3 linked regions of the Drosophila melanogaster genome follow. The protein of the gene in region 3 interacts with the protein of the main gene of each other region in a pairwise test. Each region holds a gene or a part of one and is shown on either strand. Other genes may lie near its edges.

Region 1 (7,415 bases), on a different chromosome or scaffold from region 3:
CGTAAGATATACCCTATATTATATTAATAAAATTTGGTTCTGAAATCAGCTACGTATTAATGGGCTCTCCATATATTGAAACCCTATATATTTTTGCCATTATTTATTTTTCTCCTGTGCAGAACGGAACGCATAAAGGCAGCTCCAGATGGCCAGGAACTTCGGGGCACATGTCCGCCAATGAGGCGTACTTAATGATTATGGCATTTGTTTTTTTATTTATTTACATTTATTTATCTGGCCTTCCGTCTTGGCCGTGGGCACTTGGTTTTGTTTTGGTCATTATTTTTATAGCCCCGTTGGGCCGACTTCCCCTTGTGGCCATCGCATCGAATAGCCGTTGACCACTCCATTTGTGTTTTGTTTTCGCAAGCTTACTCGCGCATATTTATATTTGCTGTGGATAAGCCGCTTAGCCCGGGAGCATCGACATTTATTGCCGTCAACTAATGTCCTGCAGCTATTTGTTGGACATTTAAGCCTGGCACATTTTGGGGATTTCAGCTCGGCGGCGAACAATGAACTCCTTGGACCCACAATGCCAGTGACCTCTTTTCGGGCAAACTGAAGCTTATAAATGCCAAGAACAAATGAGCAAAAATTGCACATCCGCCCGAGCATCAAAAGGATAAGGCGGAAGTGCAGGAGACACTTCGGACTTAGACGCCAGTTGCCATCCTGGTGGGTACTCAAAATAAATTTCGAGCAAAAAGCACAAGCGATTCCGAAATCCCCGCCCATCGGCAGCCCGCATAAAAATACTCGATGACAGGACCAGAAATGTCTCGGTTATGGGGTCTGTGTGTCTTGGACTCTTTGGCCATCCGGGATATCATTTAATGTTGTGTATCTTCTGGTGGTTTTCTCCCTCAGTGCAGCCGAAATTGGCTTAAACTGTTGCAAGTTCATAAAACAAACAACCAAATTTGAAAAGTTGCGAGTGCCAGCCGCAGTCGGAAACTTTGCCATGCTGCCTGAACTTGAAATTTACGTTAGTTAAATTATCAACTTCAGCGTCTGGCCAAAAAAACTTTCTGTGCAAAACAAAGTCGTCGCTGCGTCCTTTTATTTTAAAGGAGTTTGCCGCGTCTGCTGGGTAATCGGATTTTCTTTTCCCGAATTTTCTAATAATTCTAAACTCTCTTCTCTATAAATCTGTTATTGTTCAGCAAGTATTTTATTTTCCTGGAAAACTATTAAAACGACTTTAAATCTATAAAATATTCCTACAAAGCGAATATATCGTATAAATATATATACTGGTTATAGATAGTTTTAAAAAAAAATCATAGTATTATTCTGTAGTTTTTACTTCAAAGACATAGATTGTTTTTACTTCAAAGACATAGATTGTGGTAACCACAATTCACTGTAACCATCGAACTTGGTCCGCAACGCCCACTTCCAGGAGTAATAAGCGTCATGTGTGTAATTTCGGCTTAAGATGGCCAACAATGTAAGCGGTTTAAATGTGTAACATTGTTGCCCAGCCAGGCATCAGTTTATTGGATTTGGCCGTACTTAGCTAGTGTGAGGAAAAATTATTGCCGACTGCCAGCGGACTTTGCTTCATACTTAAGCCGCTTAGCCAGCGAAAAGCCAACTACAAATTACAACTTATTATACAAGTTGAATCATCCAACATCCAAGCAATTTGTGGCGACTGAAAATGAAGATCCATTTAATAATCAAGAAACGCACACATATATTGGTTAATTTGTACACGAGCTCATATGTTGCCGGGCTTCTTTATTCATTTACAAACATATTTCTGGCATTATTCACGTTGCATTAAACTAGGCGTTAATAGTAATGAATACATAACAAAACAATTTTTAAATTTCACAAGTCGAGTTCTGAATTGTGTGTTCTTGTGTTTTCAAATTTTGCTGCCGATAATTTTCAGACTAAGTCAGCAATCGTGGGAATCGTGGGAATGGATGCCGGGGGTCTAGTGCGGTTGTTTTTGAATCAAGCGGGGTATGTAAATACTTCTCAAGCGGTATACAATCCACGAAGACTATTTTAAAGTAAACTAGATTAGATATGCACACGCATACGGATGTGTAACTATTTCTTTATATAAATATAGAGGCTGTGTCGGTAATTCTATTCCTGATTCAGGTTCTTGATCACGTAATTAACAATGAGGGCAAAAATTGCAAAGCAGATAATGATCACCAGGTTTGAATAGACGGACTGCCAGTTTAGATAGGAGTTCCGTGCACTATTCTGGACCGCCGCTCCTCCGCCGCTGGCCAAATCCGCCTGACCCGCCGCCCCGCCATCGATTGCGTCCGCTGCATTCAGTGGATTGGCCAAGCCGCCCACCGCCAGATTGCCATCCGCAGATGCCAGGCTCGCTCCGTTGGCCAGTCCGTTGGAACGCTTTACTCCATTGGCAGCGGGTCCGTCCACAGCAGCTGCCGCCTGTGTTCCTCGCAGCCGCTGCTTGATCTCTTCGACTATCTCCGGAAACAGCTCACAGAAGTTGGTGTTGCGCAGGTTAAATGCTAGTGATTTTTGAGCAAACATTTGCTTGTCATAGTTCGATGATTCGATGGATCCGAGTGTGGGTGTGCTCTCCAGCTGTGAAGGATTTAAGATTGGCTTACTCAAACGTATGATCATGTATTCGTAATAACTCACCATGAAGCTCAGCAGTCCAGTGAGAATGGTGCCTACGCACCAAGTCGGGTTCCAAGTGTCCGGATGAAAATCTGAAAATCCCAATAGGGTTGATAAGTTATATGTTTGGAACAATAGAATCTAAACAGATCTAAACAGATACACGAATATCTATTTGAAAGGTCGCAAAAAACATGTTTGACTAAGCCACAAAGTCCATCGGCTTCGTCAAACATAACTAAAACTATTCAGCGTTCAAAGTTAATGGTAGTCTTTAAGCCTGTAGTTACTACCCATTCTTTAATGTTCTACTACTGTGACAACCAATCCGCTTTATTTCTAGCTGTGGATTCGGACTCCTACGGATATGGAACTGACACATACCTGATATACTCAAACACAGTCTGGTGTTGGTCTTGAAGCGACCGTTCGGCGTCAGCATGTAGATGGATGGCGGCTTGAATGGGAACTCGCGCGGAAAGAGCAGGGTGCCGTGGTAGTAGCCGCCGTAGTAGGGCGAGTCCTCCGGCCCCTTGACGCAGTAGTGCCACTCGAGGATGTTGTTGGGCAGCGGCTCGGCGGTTATGTACGGCAGGGGATCCCGCTTGAGGCGCATATAGTCCTGCTTCATGCGCGACACAGCAGTGGGTTGCTTCCGGCCGCCGGACGTCGACGACGAGGACATGGTGTTGTTTTGGTTTTGCTAATTTTTAACGAACTTAATTACTACCGCCCAAGTTTGAAAACCTAAACTATGATCGAACACGACTGGCCTACTGGTTTTTCTCTCACTGTAGCAGATAAGATAGCGACGTGGCCCTGTGGAATAATTTGCAAATCAATTATACTCGTATCTGGTCGCATAAATACCAATACGTACCGTCCTTCTCCAGAATTTCGAAGCTGTCGAAGATTCTTGTTCGGTGTGTTTATCATGCGATGGATTTCAGTCTCGCCAGCTCGGTTGTTTATTGTTTGCTTTTCTAGTACTGGCAGCCAACCTCGGTAACAAGTGCGTTTTCTAATTGTTGTTGCTGCTGTTACTGCGTTTTTGTTGATTTTTTTTTAAATTGCAATGAAATTGAGTGAGAAAACAACGCACATATACAGGCGCACACGACCGACACCCGCACACACACACTCACACACGTGTAGGGGACAACTAGGGCTTGACTTTGGTAAATTTTGGTAGTATCACGAGCTTACTCCGCTACAGTGGATGCCCCTAATTCGTATTAATCACTTGTGGGGTTATATATCCGGGTTTGGAGCTGGCAATATCTTAATTTAATCTTTTATTTTGGCATGAAGAGTTTAGTGGTACCGTGTGCGGAAGTAAGTTTCATCTCCAGTTTAGTGTTACCAGAGTCTATGTTGGCTTCCTCACCACGTGGTGAAGGAGGGAAACTTTGCTGCATACGGTGAGAAAATTGGATGGAGTGGTGTATGTATCCGCTAATTAACTGACTCTCAAATCTGTGCAATTCTTTGAAAACAGTAAATATAGATCTTTTAGTTTTAGCCGATTTGCTGGACTATCAAATACCCGTTACTTAATGCGAGATATGATAAAAAGAAGAAAGAACTCTTTTCGAAAATTGCTTACTAGGCGGTATCTACTTTCCAACGTATCTAGTATACCCGGGTATGTCCCAAAATCCCTATGGCAATATTTTGTAATATACAAAGTAAATACTTTGGTTTTCTAATGTAGCCCTTTACAAATAAGCATGTGTATATCGCCTCTACTGTTATCACGCTCACATTGATAACGATTGTTATCTCTTAAAGTGCGGAATGTTTTTGAAACTTGGTAAGTAAGGATTGCCAAAGAGTACAGCTATATAGAAATTTATAGAAATGGAATCCAAAACACGAAAGTGGATCAACGCACGATTACAGGGATTACAGGGCATCGGCATCTCGCATTAATTTGGACTTCGTCACGCCGATTAATGGGTGAATGAGTTGCGGATGACAGTTGTTCTAAATGATAAGGAAATACAACGGCGGGCAAAATATTAGCAATCGCGGCACTTGAACTGTATTTTAAACTACATATTATATATAATCAATATTATCAATCAATATTATAATTGATTGTTATATAAGCTGAAATCATAATAACTTCACTTTAAATAATGGGTTGTAATTTATGATCTATTAAAAATTTGTCTCTATCTTAAGTGGATTTTAATGACTATTTTTATTCAAATATAATTCGATTGTAAAACAGCACTATTAATAGTTTAATGTTTTCTTTATTTACAATGTGTGAAAAGTTCTTAGTATTTATTATTATTTTGCCCCGCTGTCGATTGCCGAACCCACACATAGGAACCTCAATGATAAGCTCAGATCGCTGGGTGTGTTGTTCCCTCAACGCAGGGGATTGGGAGGGGGTTGGCCGGGCAAGATTTCTTATCAATCCTCGCGTCTGTTTTTGGTCAACGCCGGCGGCGGGCGCACAGTTGCCGTTCCACCAGCAGAAAGTTCAGTACTCACAGTCCGCGGACTTTTTAACCCATTAACTAATGTCGGCAATCGGAAAGATCGGATTCCTGGGAGGCGGGAATATGGCCAAGGCTTTGGCTAAGGGTTTCCTAGCGGCCGGTGAGAAAGCCACTAATAAAATAGATTTGTAGTCTGACATACTTTGTGCTAGACAATAGATAAGACACACTTGGATATGCAATATATATATGAACTAACATCATCTTATAATTAGATACAAAAGGATAGGACGTTAAGGATTTCATCATATAATCGCCAAATTTCCTAATTCATTTCCTAGGCCTGGCCAAACCCAATACCCTGATAGCCAGCGTCCATCCGGCAGATAAGCTCTCCCTGCAGTCCTTTCAATCCCTGGGAGTGGAAACAGTGATCAAGAATGCACCCGTTGTGCAGCAATCGGATGTGGTCTTCGTGTCCGTGAAACCCCAAGTGGTTCCCTCGGTTTTGTCGGAGATTCAGCCATTGAGCTCGGGCAAACTATTCCTTTCCGTGGCCATGGGCATCACTTTGTCCACCATCGAGTCCAGTTTATCTCCACAAGCTCGCGTCATCCGTGTGATGCCCAATCTGCCGGCTGTCGTGTGTTCCGGTTGTTCGGTTTTCGTTCGCGGATCCAAGGCCACAGATGCAGATGCGGATATTACCCAGAAGCTGCTGCAGTCCGTGGGCACTTGTGAGCCGGTGGATGAGTCCCAGTTGGATGTGGTTACTGCTCTGAGCGGAAGTGGACCGGCCTATGTATTCGTGATGATTGAGGCCTTGGCGGATGGAGCCGTTCACATGGGCATGCCCAGGGATCTGGCCTATCGTTTGGCATCGCAAACAGTCCTGGGCGCAGGTCACATGGTGCGGGACAGTGGTATGCATCCCGGACAACTCAAGGATGGGGTCACAAGTCCGGCGGGATCGACAGCAGCGGCACTCAGACAACTCGAGCTGTCAGGTAAGTTGGGATGATGACGCCGATGACGCACTCGCTTATCGCCGCCACTTCAACCTTTGATGTCGATTGCAGGTTTTCGGGCTGCGGTGTCTGGAGCGGTGGAACAGGCGACTCTGCGATGCCGGCAAATCTCGGGAAAGACGAAGTAGGCACATAGGATTATCATATACATATACGTACATTGGGGTGGGTCAATTTTGTTATTAAAGTTATAGTAGTTAAAGGAAGTCGTTAAATTTTGTTGCTTCTTGAAGAAACATGTTTTTAATTTGGAAATGTATGTTGGTGCTATAGTGCTTTCAAAGAGCAATGATGAGATGTTTCATTTTAATCGACCCACCCTTGTGCTTAATCTGGGTTAGTAGCTTTGCATAACTATAAAAACTGTGAAGGCCGATTTCGTGATACTAAAATATAAGCAACACTGCTATATTCTTTACTCTCAGCTTTGTTTATAGTCTAGCTAAAAATAACTAATTCAAAGTCGAGCCTAGAACTTCTTCTTCTTTTTGGCCCGGGACAGCTCATTGAGCTCGCCCTGTTGCACGGATGCCTCCTGGTAAATGCGCTTAACCTTCTCGTGGCGCTCCTTGTCACTGTGGATATGAAATACAATAGATTAGAAAGGAACGGTTAAATTGTAAATGGAACACAAACCTTTGCAGGGTCTGTTTGAGCCTAAGCATCTGAACGAAGGACGTATCTCTGCGTATTTCTCGAATGGCACCCTTCTTCTCGCGCTTGATCTTGTGCAGCAGTTTGGCCCGCTCTTCCTTGGCCTTGGACATCTTGGGACGACGTTTGTCATCGTAAACCGCCTCGAATCGAGGTTCCAGCAGCCTAAGAGCCTTGGGTTTCTTTTCCGCCGGAGCCAAGGGTTTCATTTTCTGCGCAGCTAGCTTCTCCGCCAGTTCGGTGGCATCCTTGTGGTGCTGATGCACATGCTCGGGGTAAGACTCCAGTGGAAGGCGGGAGAGTAGTGCCAAAAAGGGTTGGGCCAGGTAGCAGGCACCCACATGCTCTTCCACCAGTTGGAGAGCTTCCTTGATTAGCAGGAGGGAAGTGTCCAGTGCTCGAACCTTGAAATCTGGAGTGATCGTCTGGGTGACCAAGTCAGTAGGCTGCAGCTGTTGGGGCTCCAACTTCGTGGATTCCGTGTTAGCTGGAAGTGCTAGGAGCTTGCTCAATGGACCATCACGCTCAAAAGGCGGCGTGATCTCCAACTGTTCCACATCCCTCTTCGGTATGGACATGTGTACAATGCCCTGCAGGAAGTTGAATACGGCTGGAACCAGTCTCTTGGATTGGGACACAAACTCCAAGACTA
Region 2 (5,520 bases), on a different chromosome or scaffold from region 3:
AGCACGACTTGGGCTTCGTGACCTTCGATCTGCAAACGAATCTCACAGGCATCTTCAACTGGAACGTGAAGCAGCTGTTCCTGTATCTCACCGCCGAGTACCAGACACCGGCCAATCAACTCAACCAGGTGGTACTGTGGGACAAGATTATCCTGCGCGGCGACAATGCCGTATTGGACTTCAAGAACATGAACACCAAGTACTACTTCTGGGACGACGGGAATGGCCTGAAGGACAACCGCAACGTATCGCTATACCTCTCGTGGAACATCATTCCGAACGCGGGACTCCTTCCCTCCGTTCAGGCCACTGGAAAGCACCTGTTCAAGTTCCCGGCCGACTATGCCACCTCGTCCATTTAGAGCTTAGGGCTAATGCTAAATACAGCTGGTTCCGCCCGGGTTCCCTAGCTTGTAGTGTCTATCTAATAAAACCCCAAATAAAATATCTTTGTAAAGATTTCGAACTGTATCCCAAACGAAAGAAACTTAAGAGAAATTCGTTGAAAATAATTTATTTTTGGTCCATTTTTATAATGACAATTTTATCTATAGCTTTCTATAGTAATTAACCAGCGAGTGACTGCAGAGCGCCAGCACTTAGTTTTCGGTCTTTCGTCTCAAATCTGGGTTTGGCAGTCGAACTAGGGTTCAACACTGCAGCTGAGGTGTTAAGGGATAGAGCTACAACCAAAATAGCAATAAAGAACTGTGCGAAAATTTTAAAAAATATTAGATTTTGGAACGCAGATATGATTAGTACCAACACACCAATTTTACTGAGGCCATGTTGATATCCGCTAAAGAAATCGAAAACTATACTAAAAATGTGTAAAAGATCTCCAATATATATATGACTGGTATTCAAGGCCGCATCGAATGGGTTCGTTTCAAAATTTAAAACTGAATCAAATTCGTTAACATTTTTTACAAGGCTTACGCAATGAAAAAGACTAATTGACCTTTGAAAATGTAATCCTTAAGACGAAGATGATGAACCCAACATATGAAAATACTTATTCGATCAATTCACAACTAATACGAAAAGGAAAGGATTTTGCATTCGGAAGATTATTTTTATTTCAAACTTCCTAAATAGAAGCATTCATTAGATTACTTATTTTACAGTCGGGGTTTTTTTTTTAATGTCTATTAATGCTGCAGCATCTGACATGCGATAACACAGTTGTCCTTGACCTAGTTGTAGAACATAAACATAATAGATGCACATCAAAAATGTTTATTTATAAGATCGGTTAAGTTTTAATATGGCAACGTATGACAGACATTCGTAATACAAACTTGCGTAAATGCATTCAGGAGTTCGCAGTTTTATGATTATTTATCTGATTACATATTTTAGCCTTGGTATGTTTTCCCACTGGGGACGTGCGAGCGTATCTTGTTTAAATATTCTTTGGTCTATATTTATAATAATTAAACAAAAAAAAAAAAAATATCTAATTATAAAACAATACTTTCTTCGATGACTATAAATTTGATATACCTAGAGTTCAAATAAATATTTTAAATATACTTTGAGATCATCTTGAGATACTTGTTTACTCTTTGTTTCTCGCCTTTTGGCGATGTTCGTCTAATACTTCCCGCAATCGCTTGACGAAATTAGCTTGATCTCTCGGAATAAAGCCCAGGAAGGCGTTCCTCGGGGACGAATACAGCAGCATGATAACCTTGCAGACGACCTCGGAGGAAAATCGGGCACAGCCACAACTGCCGGCGGACATTGATGATGCTAGCGAGTCGTGTTCTTCTCCAGGTGTCGATCGGAGAATTATAAGTTTCGAGTCCTTTATAAACGCTCCGGCGAACTGACCAAGATAAATTGAAGGCATCAAAACCATAGGCATATCAGTTGGCCAATCCTCCGCACTGATCCCGGGATCACCGTTTTTTATAGCTATGTACACGGAACACTCAAGCTTGTGACTAATGCTTGGCTCCTCTAAACTTGCTTGTGTCGACCAATTCAGCGATCCAGTCCATAGGAGTTCATTTATAATGGCATCTTCCTCCACAGGAGGCGGTTCTTCTGGCTGTGGCTGCTTGGGTGTTTTGACGCCCGGCTTTCGTTTTGCACCCTGAAGAATCTCCTGCAGTCGTTCGCTAAACGAATCCTCATTGTTGGGTATGAAGCCAACCAAAGCTTGATGATCGCGCGAGTAGATGAGAATTAGAGCCTTGATGTTGCAGTTGGGATTGGAGGGGAAGTGGATGCAACCAGCGAAACCAGAGCTCATCGCCGTGATCAATAAATTGAGTACCTCTCCTTGGCTGGATCGGAATACAACCATCCTGGCATCCTTTAGGAATTGTTCGCCAATTTTACCCAGCACTTTTTTGGGTATCAGTTGTGTTTTCAGCTTGTTTGGCCAGTTCTCCGTGTTGATCTCCGGCTGACCTTCTTTAACCATGGAGCAGATTTTGCATTGGACCGTGTGCAGAGTCTTCGGTTGATCCAATATCTGTGCATCCTCCCATTCGAGCTCTCCACTCCAAATTGTTTCCTTTGAGTCACCATTTTCAGGATTTTCCGGTTCTTTTTGCAAAAGCAACGCCCCAATCATATGTGTTAGACAATCGAGTTCCCCTTCGTCATCACCCACTCCTCGGGCTTCCTCTGGAACCGGCTCCATGCCCCTTTCAAGATGCAATCTAATTAAATATGGATTTTGTCGGATAGGCAACTTGTCGGTTAAAAATTTGTTTATCTGTGATATGCTTCTTCTTGCTTTTAGCGGTTTGTTATTGGTATCGCACTATCGGTTGGCTGGTTGGTCGATTGGCGGCCATCGAGATGCAACGCAATGCAACCCTGGCCAATCACTCTCACTTCTTCTTCTGCGTTTGTGTCAAAACAAAATTAAAACTAAAAACTCGCTAAAACCGTCTCGCAGCGCAATTATCTTTAGACTTCGTGTTATTTATGTGTTTGAATGTTAGCGTCGGCACCCCGCATCCCAGTGTTCATAACCCCATGTGTGCCACCTTGGTTTAAATGCTACCAATCTCCTGGCAGAGTAGCGCGTCTGAGCGAATAAAAAAACTGAACATGTTTCGCTCCAAGCACTTGTGATTGACCAAATCTCATCTAAAGCCCTGCCATGCTGCAGTACAAGAGTGCCGCCAGTGCGGCGACTAGTGCGCCACCCGCCACGCCTTTGGCGGCAGGCGGTTCCAGCAAGGCGACGATTCCACCAAATGGAGCTAGTGCAGCAGCTTCACAAACGCAGGTTCACGGTGCTCCCGGGACACCAACCATGCAGCAGATCATCAACATTCACCAAATGCCTCCTCAGTTTGCAGGCGGAGCGGTTGCCGGGAACGGACAGAACGCTGGCATGCCCCAAAACATGTTCCAGATCGTACAGCCCATGCCCATGCAAACGGTGAACATTGATGGCCAGGAGGCCATCTTCATACCAAACCTCAATGCACAACTGGCCACCGCTCAGGCGGTCAACTTCAACGGGCAACAGGCCTTTATCACGCCCAACGGTCAAATTCTGCGGGCTCCCCAGATGGCAGCTAATCCGGCAGCCTCTAACTGCATTCAGCTGCAACAGCTGAACGGCTTGGGCCAGGAGCAAACCCAGCTGATCACCATACCCGGCACCAACATTCAAATACCCGTCACCAATCTCATTCAGCAACAACAGCAGGCACAACAAGTGCACCAGGGTACAGTGCAACAGCAGGCACAAGGAACAAATGCATCTGGAGCCAATGGATCGGGAGTTACCAATAGTGGGACAGCGGGTCAGCTGCCGGGCAGCATCACCATACCGGGCACAAACCTGCAGATACCAACCTCGGTAGCGGCGGCGAATGGATTGCTGGGAAACATCTCCAATATCTCCAATTTACTAGGCGGCGGGCAATCTATAAAGTTGGAGAACGGCCAATTGCAGATGCGGCCGCAACTGGTGCAGTTTCCGGCGCCAGCCATGCCGCAGCAGCAACAAACGGTTGCTGTGCAGATTCCCGTTCAGACTGCTAACGGACAGACCATCTACCAGACTGTACATGTGCCCGTCCAGGCAGCGGCAACATCGAGCGGCGGACTGCAAAACCTGATGCAGGCGCAATCCCTGCAGATGCCCTCCGCCTCGCAGATGCAAATCATCCCGCAGTTCTCACAGATAGCCCAGATTGTTACGCCCAACGGTCAGATTCAGCAGGTGCAACTGGCAATGCCGTATCCTCAGCTGCCTCCGAATGCCAACATTATACATATCCAGAATCCCCACCAGCAGCAGCAACAACAAGTACAACAACAACAACAGCAGCAGCAGGCGCAACAGCAGCAGCAAGCGCAACAGCAACAGGCACAGCAGCAGCAACAACAACAGGTCCAGGCGCAGCACCAGCAGCTCCTTCAGGCGATCAGCGATGCCTCGGCGGGGGGACAACTGCCGCCCAATCAGCCCATCACCATTACCAATGCCCAGGGCCAACAGCTGACCGTGATTCCCGCCCAACTACGCCCAAATGCGCCTACCGCACCCACTCCTGCTCCAGCTGGTGTGCCCACACCAATGCAGATGCCCAATCTTCAGGCTTTACCCATCCAGAACATCCCAGGCCTGGGTCAAGTGCAAATCATTCACGCCAATCAGCTGCCTCCTAATCTGCCAGCCAACTTCCAGCAAGTACTAACCCAACTACCCATGTCGCATCCTCAAGTGCAAACTCAGGGCCAAGTTCAGGTGATGCCCAAGCAGGAGCCGCAGAGTCCAACGCAAATGATCACCAGCATCAAGCAAGAGCCGCCGGATACCTTTGGACCCATTTCCGCAACTGGTAATCCTCCGGCACCTGCCTCTACTCCAAACACAGCCTCACCGCAACAGCAGCAGATCAAGTTCCTGCATACGGAAAGCAATTCCCTGTCCAGCCTGAGCATACCAGCCTCCATTCAGATCACAGCCCTGCCACAGCAAGCGACGAATACACCGAATACCCCAGCCACAACCCAACCAATTCCCGTATCGTTACCTGCAAGAAGTAAGGTCAACGCTGTGACCACGTCAAGCACCCAGATTACAATTGCGCCGACTGGTGGCCAAGTGGTGTCCGTCACGACGCAGGCTAGGGGAGCAACTGCCAGCATAAGGAGCACGAACACCAGCACGACGACTATAACAACGCCGTCACAAAGCCATCTCAATATGAACATAAGTGTGGCCAGCGTCGGAGGTGCTGCAACTGGCGGCGGCGGTGGAACAGCGACTGGAGAGCCCAAACCACGCTTAAAGCGAGTAGCCTGCACCTGTCCCAATTGTACAGATGGCGAAAAACACTCGGACAAGAAGCGCCAGCATATATGCCATATAACCGGCTGCCATAAGGTATACGGGAAAACTTCCCATCTAAGGGCTCACCTGCGTTGGCATACTGGCGAGCGACCATTTGTCTGCTCCTGGGCGTTTTGCGGCAAGCGCTTCACCCGCTCCGATGAACTGCAGCGCCACCGACGAACGCACACGGGAGAGAAGCG
Region 3 (10,601 bases):
GACCATAACTCCAACGAAATGACTGTGCTGAACTCAGCTGAAAGTCCAGTGGCCAAGAGGCTTAGCGAGTATATATTTAACTGGATCAGATTTAATGGGGCATCGAATTCGATTCGTGGTGGGGCAACAGAAACTGGACATAAGCTGGGTCAAGGGGAGGAACCCTGGACAAGGATCTGGGCACACTCACTCTAGCGGACAGGAATCACTACGGAACTTCACCCACTACTACCTACTACTTCAAAATCGAGACTGATTTTACTGCTTACCCCCTGCCTCCATCACCCCCCCCCCCCCACCACCACTCACCAACCACAAGAGCACACAAACAAAGTGTAATACATACAAAGTACATACAATACATACCGGAAACGGAAGAATATCAGAATATCAACCTGACAATCTGAACTTCAACTTTCATAACCTATTTCGCGTACACTATCGACAACACGATAATTTAAGAATACATTTACAAGTTATAGAACCTATCGGTTGGATAGGGTCGAATATACAAAACTACTTGAATACAAATATATATATATATATATATCTTATATAATTATATACCCCTATTATATACATATATGTATACAAAATATATACGATGAAATATTTACACACAAGTTTTACTCCGTGCCATTTGAGTGCGATAAGTTAAGTTAAACCAAACTTTATACGAATTTCGGACAAGTTCAGCGGCATTTTTATGGGAATCCATTTGACTAATGGTTAACTTGTTCTTATATATCATTTAAGTGTGATACGCGAACGGAGATTTAGTTATAGAAAGCCAACTGGTGCTCCCTACAATCCTGTCATTTATTTCTTGATCATCCCCCAACCCACTTTCACTCCGTTCGAATCAAATCAAAAATTTAACAAAAACAAAAAAAAAAATAAAAATATGTTCCCAAATAGTGTCATTTTTTCCTTACAAAATTGTTTACAAATCAAAAGACGCTGTAGTTGTTTCTTTTATACACGAATATACACTATGAATACTTGAGATTTTTTGATGTACGTTAAACATTTATGATATGTGTGTGTTTGCAAGAACCTCTATTTGTAATTGATATCCATATATATATGTATATATATCTATATATATATATATATATATATGTGCATATATATATATAGAACGACAATTTGCTCTTCTCCCGTCTTAATTCCGAGTGATTTTGAAGTTTCCAAGCAAAGCAATTGGTTTAGGTGAGCAAAGGCAAAGATGGTTCCACGTGGAATATATTGTAGAATACATATATGGAAACCACGATTTAGTACGTATGCGTAAGCATTTGTAATTCATATTTTTTTTGCGAGAAAACCTTCATTCAATCAAATTGAATGGGCACTTTTAACCATAAATAAATATTTTACTCTATGTGTAATTAATTACATCTTGTATGGCGGCATTAACCGCCCGTATTTCAATTGGGGGAAAGTGGGAACATGGCCAACAGTCCCGGGCAATTAAGGCCAAAGGGATTACGGATTCGATCCGTACCCATCACGCATCCGGCCACATAACTGCAACGCATAGTTTCCAATTAAAAGTTACTCCAACCCGGAATTTGACAAATGGTCCGGCACTTAATCAACGCAGCACCAGCACCTCGACCTCCAAAAAATGCTGTTTTCTGCGGCTTAGTCGGGATTCCCCAGCTGAAAGTTATGCCCAGAGGACCAAGGGCGAAAGTGGGTCCCATAAATGACTAATCAAAATGCCAGCGATGCCGAGACCTCCGGAAAGTGAAGGAGAATAAAAACATGGATAATGGTTGGCTGGAACATTAATTATGCTGCTTCGATGGTGGCTATCCTTTATATGCTTACACTTATATAGGAAACGGAACTCAAAGTGCCGTAGTCATCGCTGGCCCAGGAAAAAGGAGTACCTTTTACTTGTAATTAAGTCCCAGATTAGTTACACGGAATGCGAGTCGAATTTGTGGTAACCGTAGCTACGTTTTAGTGACTCTAAACTATTTCATTTATTGTTGCCCCTTCTATCTTTTATCTAATATTTTCCCCATTTGTGTTGCCCCACAGTTTTGTGAATCATTGTCAAATACATAAACTCGTGCTTTAAATCTCAAATGCAACTCCTGTGACTTGTGGTGAACTTGGGTTCTGACCATGGCCAGCTTTATATTGTATATATCTTGTCAACTTCTGTTGGCCTGCGGCTAAGTCCACAGTTCCACGCAGTGCAGCTGGAATTTCGATGCAAATTAATTCGGATCAAAGTGAAGGCCCTGGAACGGGAAACGTGCCACAGGTGCGAAAACAGCACTGACTGCAAAACCTCAATCAAATCAGAAATGTTGGCCGCAAAAGCCCGAAAAAGGCCAGCATTCCGATTTAGATGTAAATGAAGTCCAGCAACCGAGTGGGTCACTTCACTGGGTAGTACATTTTTCATTTTTATTCGTTATAAATTTAAAATAAATTATCGAAGTTGAAATAAATATGTGAAATTTCGGGGGGCCCTTAAGCGCTACGACCTATGAACTATGAACTAAATTTGTGTCGACCAGCTGCGGCGGTACAAGGTATTTACACTATTGCCCAGCATGTTGGCAAACTCGCGCTGGCCGCTCAGTTGAAAAAATCCAGGATGCCATTGAGGAGCTCGTAGGCGAATCCAGTCTCATCCGTCGCCTCTGCGGCGGCCTTCTTCTTCTTGTTCTTTTTCGCCTTCTTGGACTTCTTGGACTTGGGCGTGGTGGAGTCTTCATCGGCGGCAGCTGTGGTAGCCGGTGTCACCGCTGCGGCCACTTCTCCCTCAATCGGTGCTGCGGCTGCAGGAGCAGCAAGAGGAGCAGCAGGCGCAGCAGGTGCAGCAGCTGCAACAGCCTCGCCAGCGGCAGGAGCTCCCGTATCGTCCTTGCTCTGCACCTGGTCGCCGTTCGTCGTAGTCGCGGTCACCTGGCCATCGGCAATTACATGCTCGCGGGTTTGGTCAGCAGCCGCTGACGCAGCCGCAGCCGCTGGCTTCTTAACCGGCTTCTCATCGTCGTCATCGTCGAGCTCGTCCAGAAGTCCGGCCAAACTAAAGCCACCGTAATCAGCATCCTCGGGCGCCTCGGCCTCGTCATCATCGGCATAGTCCTCGGTGTCATCGTCGTCATCGGCATCCGCATCCGTATCGTTGTCGCTGTCATAGTCGTCCTCCTCATCCTCGTCATCGTCGCCACCAGCTGACACCAAAAACAAAAAAAAATTATAAAGATAACGGAGTTAGATTAGATATTTTTAGCATGGACTAGAGGAGTCAGTTCAACGAGGCGGATACGCAATATATCGAACAAAAATATTATGTATACGTATATGAACAGGCCAACTCACCGGCAAATCCAAAGAGGTCATCATCGTCGTCATCATCGTCATCCGAACTGGGCTTCACAGGCAACGGCTCCGCCTCGGCCACCCGGACTCCTTCCGGTCCAAACTTGAAACAGGAGACGCGCAGGGAGGCCTCCACCTCGTCGTCGGAGCGCAGTTCAAAGGCCAGGCATGCCTTGAAGTCCTTGGACTCCTTGGAACGGGACAGACCATAGACCTTGCCGCAGAACTTGGAGTAGCCGCCGGGCAGGCCCACGCAAATGGGGCGAGCCCGCTTGCTGGAGATGCGACGAGAGGCCAAGGTGATGCCACCGTATTTGAGGGACACGCTCATCTCGTCGTTGCCCACATAGGCGATCTTGGCGCAGCCAGGTCCGCTGGGCAGCAATGGCAATCCGAACTTCCGGCAGCAGTCGCAGTGGCTCTCCGAGCACTTGCAGAACTTGCTGATGGGATTCTCCGGCTTGGCGGTGGTCGGTGCAGTGGTAGGCTTGGCCGCTAGAGTGGTGGCCACCGCCGGAGCAGCTGCCTCTGCGACCTCGGGAACGGCAGCGGCTGGGGCGACAGCTTCTGCAACGGAAGCTGCAGCATTCGGGGTATCCACATCACCGCTGGCTATCTCATTGGCACTCTCGTCGATGGACGAAGCAGGCGACACGGCATTGACCACCTCATCCGCCACATCAGCGACATCCTCCACCTTGGGCGGCTCCGATTCCGGTGGCGCCACATTGGGATCGATCTCCTCTGGCGGCAAATCTAACTGCTTGAAGTTCTCCGATATCTTGTCTGTGCGCCGGAACACGGTCTTGGCCTCCAGTTGAAGTATGGAGGCACTGGCCACCAGGAGCAGCATCAGTAGCATATTCCTCGAGCTGGTCATCTTGATTTGCGAATCTTTAACGAAACATGCAAATCGAAATCAGTATGCTGACAAATAAGGGATTGTATTGTAAGCCCCAAAATACAATCCCCTTGCAACTAACACACATATGCACAAAGTTTGAAAGTGCATATGCTATAAGTTAAAGCACTATTGTTGACTCTTTAATGGGTATTTTATACTAAAGTTAACAAAATTACCTCCGAGAATGAATATAGTGAAAAATATAGTGAAAAAGCGAGCTCAATGGCGATTTACTTTGCGTTTTCTGTGCGTAGGCAGAATCCGTTTGCGAAGCGGAATTCAAAATCGAAATCGAAATCGAAATGGAAATGGAAATCGAAGTGGAGCGGTTGAGGAAGGTGGGTACGGGCACAAAACCAAGAGGTATTCCAAAAGTCAACAGCTCGGAAATCGCTTTCAAGTGGCCAGCGATTAAATTTCACCGCATTCTTTCGTCTCGTTTTTGGCCGCCTTGTATTTTGCAAAAGAAATGAATTTAAATAAATATTGACATAATTTCTTTCACTTCTCTTTTCATCTCATCTTCGGTTTTTGCGTTTCCTCCCCCCCCTCCTCCCTTCTCCACACTTCCAAATGCAAAGTAAACAAATTAACAGCGAAACCCAATGGCTTTAAAAACTAAAAGCCAAATTTAACAACGCATCGCGAAGAGACAAAAAACGAGAGTGAAATCTCTCTGCAGAGTTATTTAATTGACGAATTGGGTTAGCTCATTAGAATAGCCCCCATATACTAGCGCACTACCTATACATACATATGTATGTAGGTGTACCTATGTATCTCCATTCATTCATTTCCGCAGAGCCAACAAGTTGGAGCTCGTTGCCAACTCAAACTGGGCTCTTTTCATTTTTCATTTTTTTTTGTTTTTTGAGTTTTTTTTGTCGGGTGGCAGGGGGAGTCACCGATGGCAAAGTGAAATTTCAGCTATTGACTCATTTACCTCAAGTGCTTGTTGGCATGGGGAGGGCGGAAGGGGAGGGGAAGGGGATTTCGAAGCGCCCCAAGATGTCCAAATCAATTAGCGGCTCTTAACTGGAGCTCAACCGACGGAGAAACCCGAAGGGCTTGGACCAGAGCCAGAACTATTTCAAGATAAATATGCAAAACGATTCGGATCGGATGGCAGTTGTTGGGTGTGGGGTATGGTCACGACCTAGAAACTAAACCAAGTTTTCTATAAAACAAAAAAGAAAACAAAATATTGAATTACAATTAAAGATGAAGCTCATAGAAAGGCTCGTTGGTTCCATGCTATTAAACGCATCCGTTTTCTTGGGAAACGAACTGCTTTTGATTGGGTCTATATATGGATTTGACCGATTTGGACTAATATTTTGTCCATTAACCTATGCTGCTGTGTGGATTATTGTTCTCTTTTTCTATCTGTTTCTTATCTTTCACACTCTTCGCCGAGGACAATTTGTGTAATCTGGATGGGAATGGGCCACAGGGGATAATGGTAATTCATTCTACTATAACCGGCTTATTACCGCCCCCCCTTCTAATGATGCCCATTTCCTTACATCATTTTCATATTCATTTCCATCATTTGTCTGGAAACGGTAAACAACGCACAGAAATCTCGGCCAGCTGAACCTGCTCCACAGATTCACAGCTCCACAGCTCCACAGCTCCACAGCTCCACATTGTTCCACTTTCATTTTTTCTGAGCACCGCCTCCTGCTTCTCGGCTTCTGGGGCCCTCTTCAACCGTACGTGGCTCGCAGCGTGATATGTGGCATCTGGACATACCATACCATTCCATTCCATTCCATTGATGACCTTCCGCTTGGGCGGAACAACAAACACCATTTGTGACCCAGTTGGTGGCTGTTTGGGCAAAGAAAGTGTGTGTGGCTAAATATGGCAGTGGCCGAAGTCCCATTCCGAGAATGGGTGTCTGTAATAATGGCCACTGGCACTGGCAGTAGCAATATGTGACCACAGTCGAAGTAACTTGCTCGTAATCGCAGGTCGACTTGGAACCGAACCGAATTCAATGGGCAGATGGCAAACAGTGGGGACTCCCCTCAAGCCAACGCCAATTCAATGCAAGTAAATTTCATTTGGGATGCCTCAATTGCGAGTAACACGGCCAAGAATTAGTTGTATAATCCAAGTAAAGTTAGCATAGACACAGTTTAAGAATAAGAATAAGCAACAGTTTGTTATTGCTATTGAGATTGAGTTCGTTTTAGGCAGGACTCACTGTAGCCATTCTGCTGCTGTGCTTTTGGCACACATTGCTGCATGTTTGAAATGCAATCTGCACTTTGGCGATGCACTTTGGCTTTATAATAATTTCACCTTAAAGCCGATCGAAAATTCCAATACGTTATCGAAACGCTCGAAAGTCCAGTTTGGCATATTGCATTTGAAAACGAACCGAAAACGTATTATAAAAAGCCCACGTGTGTCTCCCCTCACCTCTTGTTTGTTTTTCAAGCAGTAGTTTCGAATTTTGTCAATAAATTATAACGGTTGTGAAAAGTTATTAGCATTAATTAATTATTAAACGCATAGGAAAATAGAAAGTGAGACAGTGGTTAGCTGTGTGTGTTTTTTTTTTGGAAATTATCATAACACAATCAGATTTTTTTTTTTTTGGGCGGGGGGAGCTTGTCCATCGAAATCGAACTGTTAATTATTCAGTGCGGCAGCGAAAGTGTAAGAGTGATGCAAAAATTCCAAAGGGAAAAAAATGCTTTTCTATAATGATATTTCTTTTTTTTTATTTTGGATTTTTAATGCCACAGCATGTGTGCATCTAATCCACGCCTGGTGATTACGAAACCAGCGAGCTGCGATTATGCTAAACAGTTTGTCAGACTTTTACATCCTTCGGTGTGGTTTATATAATCCCATACATACGTACATACATACGTATGTATGTATGTGTGTAGTTGCTAGACTCCAAGAAATTTGCATAATTTCGTGCGGTCTTTGTAGTTGTTTTTGTTTTCGGTTTCGTTTTTTTTTTTACGACTGCTCTGAGATTTTCTGCCTGATTTGTGTTATTTCTTGGCTCCCTGTGTTGATGTGTGTGCTTACCACTTTCTTTTGCCAGTGTGTGGGTGAAATCGCTGGGCAGCAACAAGAACAACAACAACCACAACAATAAGAACATAAAGCAAAGTGGAGGTAAAATCAAAGTTACCATAATAATGATGACCATGTCGAGAGACCTATGCCAAAATTAAGGTTAAGTTCTTTAATGCAGCCAGCGGTGAAATTTCTGTTCGCCATGGGCGTGGGTAGCCCCACCAAAAGTGGTCGGTTAATAGGAAGGGGGGGGGGTTAAACAGGGAGAAAAAGTGGAGGAGGGGCAGCGATCGGCGGTCGGCATTTCCGGTCAAGGCTGACCCAATGGACCAGAAAATTAGCCCGTTTCGAGCTAAAAGCCTTGGAAACCCGCAGTTAATTTTTGATATTATATATATTATATTTCATCCTGCTCGAATATTGCTATTGTTTCAGATATGGAAATGTAAGTATTATCACCTGATGTAATCAGATAAAATATTCAATGAATGAATGAACGCTTTAAACGAAACGTGACATGTTTTCGGAGAAAAAACATATCCCTAAACATATCTGTTGAATAGCACTTGGTTTTTTGGACCTTGTTTATGAGAACAGAGCAGATAATCTTCGCAGCTGACTTTGATTATCAATTTGGTAAAACTTGCTATTTTACACCACCTGTGGCAGCGATCGGATATCGGACAAACAGTTCCACTTTCCAGCACCTGCGACTTTGGACACGGGACGTCGGACGGCGAAGAATGCGGTGATGGGTTGTAGAAAGTAAAACGACGACGACGCGTCTCTTTTGTTTTGCCAAATTCAAATAAGTTAATGACAAGGCAAGAAGAACGCACAGCAAACAGAGGCAGAAGCGGATGGATGGCCGACCACATTTGTACGTATGTACGTACTACGTAGATGGAGATCTGGGGAGTCTTGCGGGCCTTCGCAAAGTGCGGGGCCAAACTGGTTGACACAATTCCACAATTCAACAATTCCACGCCGACTGGCGGGTTTTACGTGCAATTGCCTCTTTGGCCGTCTTTGGCGTTGGTTTTTCCAACTCCAGCGGTCATCATCATATTGGCCCACTTCAATGCCAATCGCATTTCACCTCTTTGCGTATATCTTTACCTATAAGTAGGTTTATCCTGTTATCCAGTTATCCTAGTTATCCTGCTATCCTTCTAGCCCGCTCTCCTGTGCGCTGTAACTCCAGTTGCTGGTCAGACACACTTCCGTATTGCACTTGGAACACAACAAAAAAACTATAGCACTCCGTGTGTGGCAAAAAAAAAAAAAAATAAATAATATTGGAAAATAGTTTTGAAATTGGCTTGGCGCGCGTGACGATTGGTTTTCCCGCTCTGCCAGGAAATCGGATGCTGCTGCTCTTTATAAGACTGAACTCAACGCTCGGGGACGCGGAACTCGACTGCGCGGACTTAGAGCCACCAGGCCGAGTTATGGGCGATTCCACGGGTCGCTCCCCAGCTGATCGAGCCAACAACAGCAGCTTTCTTTTCGCATCGAACGTGTTCGGGGTTCGTCGGTTGGTCGGTTGGTCGGCTGGTCGACTAGTCGGTTCTTCAGCTCGTCGGCGGCACCTGCTGCTCCATAGCGACGCCATACGCACTGGGCCAAGATCCGAAGCTATGGCCTGCTATAGGCCTGACTAACGGGAATGCAGCGCTCTACGGGCACGTAGCTCGTAGCATGGTGCACGCAATTAACCCACGACACAGAAAGAAAAGCTATTGATTTTCCATTGACTGTGCATAATCAAAGCAAAGATCTGAAATCCCATCTCCGGTGCATCACAACTTGGCCAAGCACAACTTTATATATATACATATTATGCCTTTCCAGCTCAGATCATTACCGCTTTTGAATATCTTAAATGACAAGAAGTTAACGCAAGGTATATACATCTGTATATTCTGTGTATATGCTGATGGAATACAAAGGAGGATTTCTTTGTCTAGCCCAAAAGATTCCCCGGTGAGTAATGGAGCAGTGGACGCACCCTGGAGGTATGGAAACCTTGAACTCCGCGAGCAGACAAAGAGTAGCAGGATATCCTTGAGCACACGCGCCCTATAACAACTGTCTTCTTTATGAATTGAGTGAAATATGTGATGCCTTCATGGCAATCCCTCATACTTGCATTTCTCATAAATCTCTTTACACGTAGACTTTTTTTTTAAAGTGACTCAGAGGGATTAGCCAGAACTATGAACTAAACTTATTGTCTGCTCCCATGGACTGATTAAAATACAATCATTCTGCAGAAAACATATCTTTGGAAATGCTTTCTACGACAACAGACTTGATATCATTCGATAGCCAATAACTTGTTTGGCATCTTATCCAATTTTTATGTAACCCCAAAACGACCCGTGGACAGTTTGTCCAACCGATTGGCATTTTAAGTTTGGCTACTTAAGCATCCAAAAGAGAAAATATGTATAAAACTAAGATCGAAAGAAAAATGCTTTTAGATTATGCAAAAAACAAACAAGAAAGTTGGAATCAGAGGCCATCGTTTTAGTCAGAGCTATCTTTTTCAAAGCAAATGCATGACTTTGTATTGGCATGTATTAGTATAGCCATATAACTCAGTTATTAGACAGCGGCGTTTAAGGGAATGTTTGAAAACATGTTTTAATAATTGATTTATCATTCACATATGTAGTTCTTGTATAAGTATGCATTTTCTATATAGTAGTTAACATATGGTGCTGATGTTTCTTTTCTCTACATTCAATTTGAACTGTTTTCGTTCCGTTCGATAATTATACATATGTACACAAACACGAAGCCCTGAAGGGACACTATGGGTCTCCCGAATACATATTATATAGTTATCTATTGGGCCAATGCTGATAACAATTGGAGGAGGAGCCGCGGAAACTGAGAAATCTAGGCTTGGGTCTGAACACTTGACAAAAATTTGCCTGGACCGGCAATAATACTCGCTACATACAAACATACAGACTCGGTATCATAATATAATATACATTAAACAATTCAATAACAAGGGTAGAGGGACAACAAAAAAAAACGCATATCGAAAGGCAGGAAAAAAAAACGTGTAATATTATTTGTATGCCAAATGCTTAGCGATCATCTAGCGCGCTTAGAAAATGGGTATGTAGTTGTCGATCTTTGCGCGGTGCTTCTGGGCAACGCACTCGGCGATCCAGACGATGTTACGGCACTCCTGCTCCTTCAGCTTGAGGTATGCGTAGAAGACACCGAAGTGGAACTGCTGCAAAAAGGCGTACACGTCCAGCTTCACCTCGTGCTCGAAGAA

What was found.
Region 1: the proteins of CG15239 (region 3) and CG5823 interact in a two-hybrid assay, tested with the Drosophila melanogaster proteins (one large-scale study listed by BioGRID).
Region 2: the proteins of CG15239 (region 3) and Acp95EF interact in a two-hybrid assay, tested with the Drosophila melanogaster proteins (one large-scale study listed by BioGRID).

The regions. Positions count from the first base shown.
Region 1 is NT_033777.3:17,530,611-17,538,025, forward strand, and holds CG5823 (uncharacterized protein), read right to left. Parts: upstream 3,978-7,415; 5' UTR 3,509-3,977; intron 3,448-3,508; 5' UTR 3,314-3,447; coding exon 3,013-3,313; intron 2,721-3,012; coding exon 2,650-2,720; intron 2,590-2,649; coding exon 2,110-2,589; 3' UTR 1,715-2,109; downstream 1-1,714. Other genes in the region: P5cr-2 (Pyrroline-5-carboxylate reductase-like 2), read left to right, coding at 5,163-5,241, 5,423-6,088, 6,161-6,237; l(3)07882 (lethal (3) 07882), read right to left, coding at 6,579-6,684, 6,746-7,415.
Region 2 is NT_033777.3:24,224,260-24,229,779, reverse strand, and holds Acp95EF (accessory gland protein 95EF), read right to left. Parts: upstream 806-5,520; 5' UTR 789-805; coding exon 771-788; exon of another isoform or gene 709-770; coding exon 568-708; 3' UTR 501-567; downstream 1-500. Other genes in the region: Spase22-23 (spase 22/23-subunit), read left to right, coding at 1-362; CG13609 (uncharacterized protein), read right to left, coding at 1,562-2,656; Spps (Sp1-like factor for pairing sensitive-silencing), read left to right, coding at 3,125-5,520.
Region 3 is NC_004354.4:3,882,293-3,892,893, reverse strand, and holds CG15239 (uncharacterized protein), read right to left. Parts: upstream 8,727-10,601; 5' UTR 8,420-8,726; intron 4,246-8,419; 5' UTR 4,232-4,245; coding exon 3,352-4,231; intron 3,204-3,351; coding exon 2,602-3,203; 3' UTR 2,408-2,601; downstream 1-2,407. Other genes in the region: VhaAC39-1 (vacuolar H[+] ATPase AC39 subunit 1), read right to left, coding at 10,425-10,601.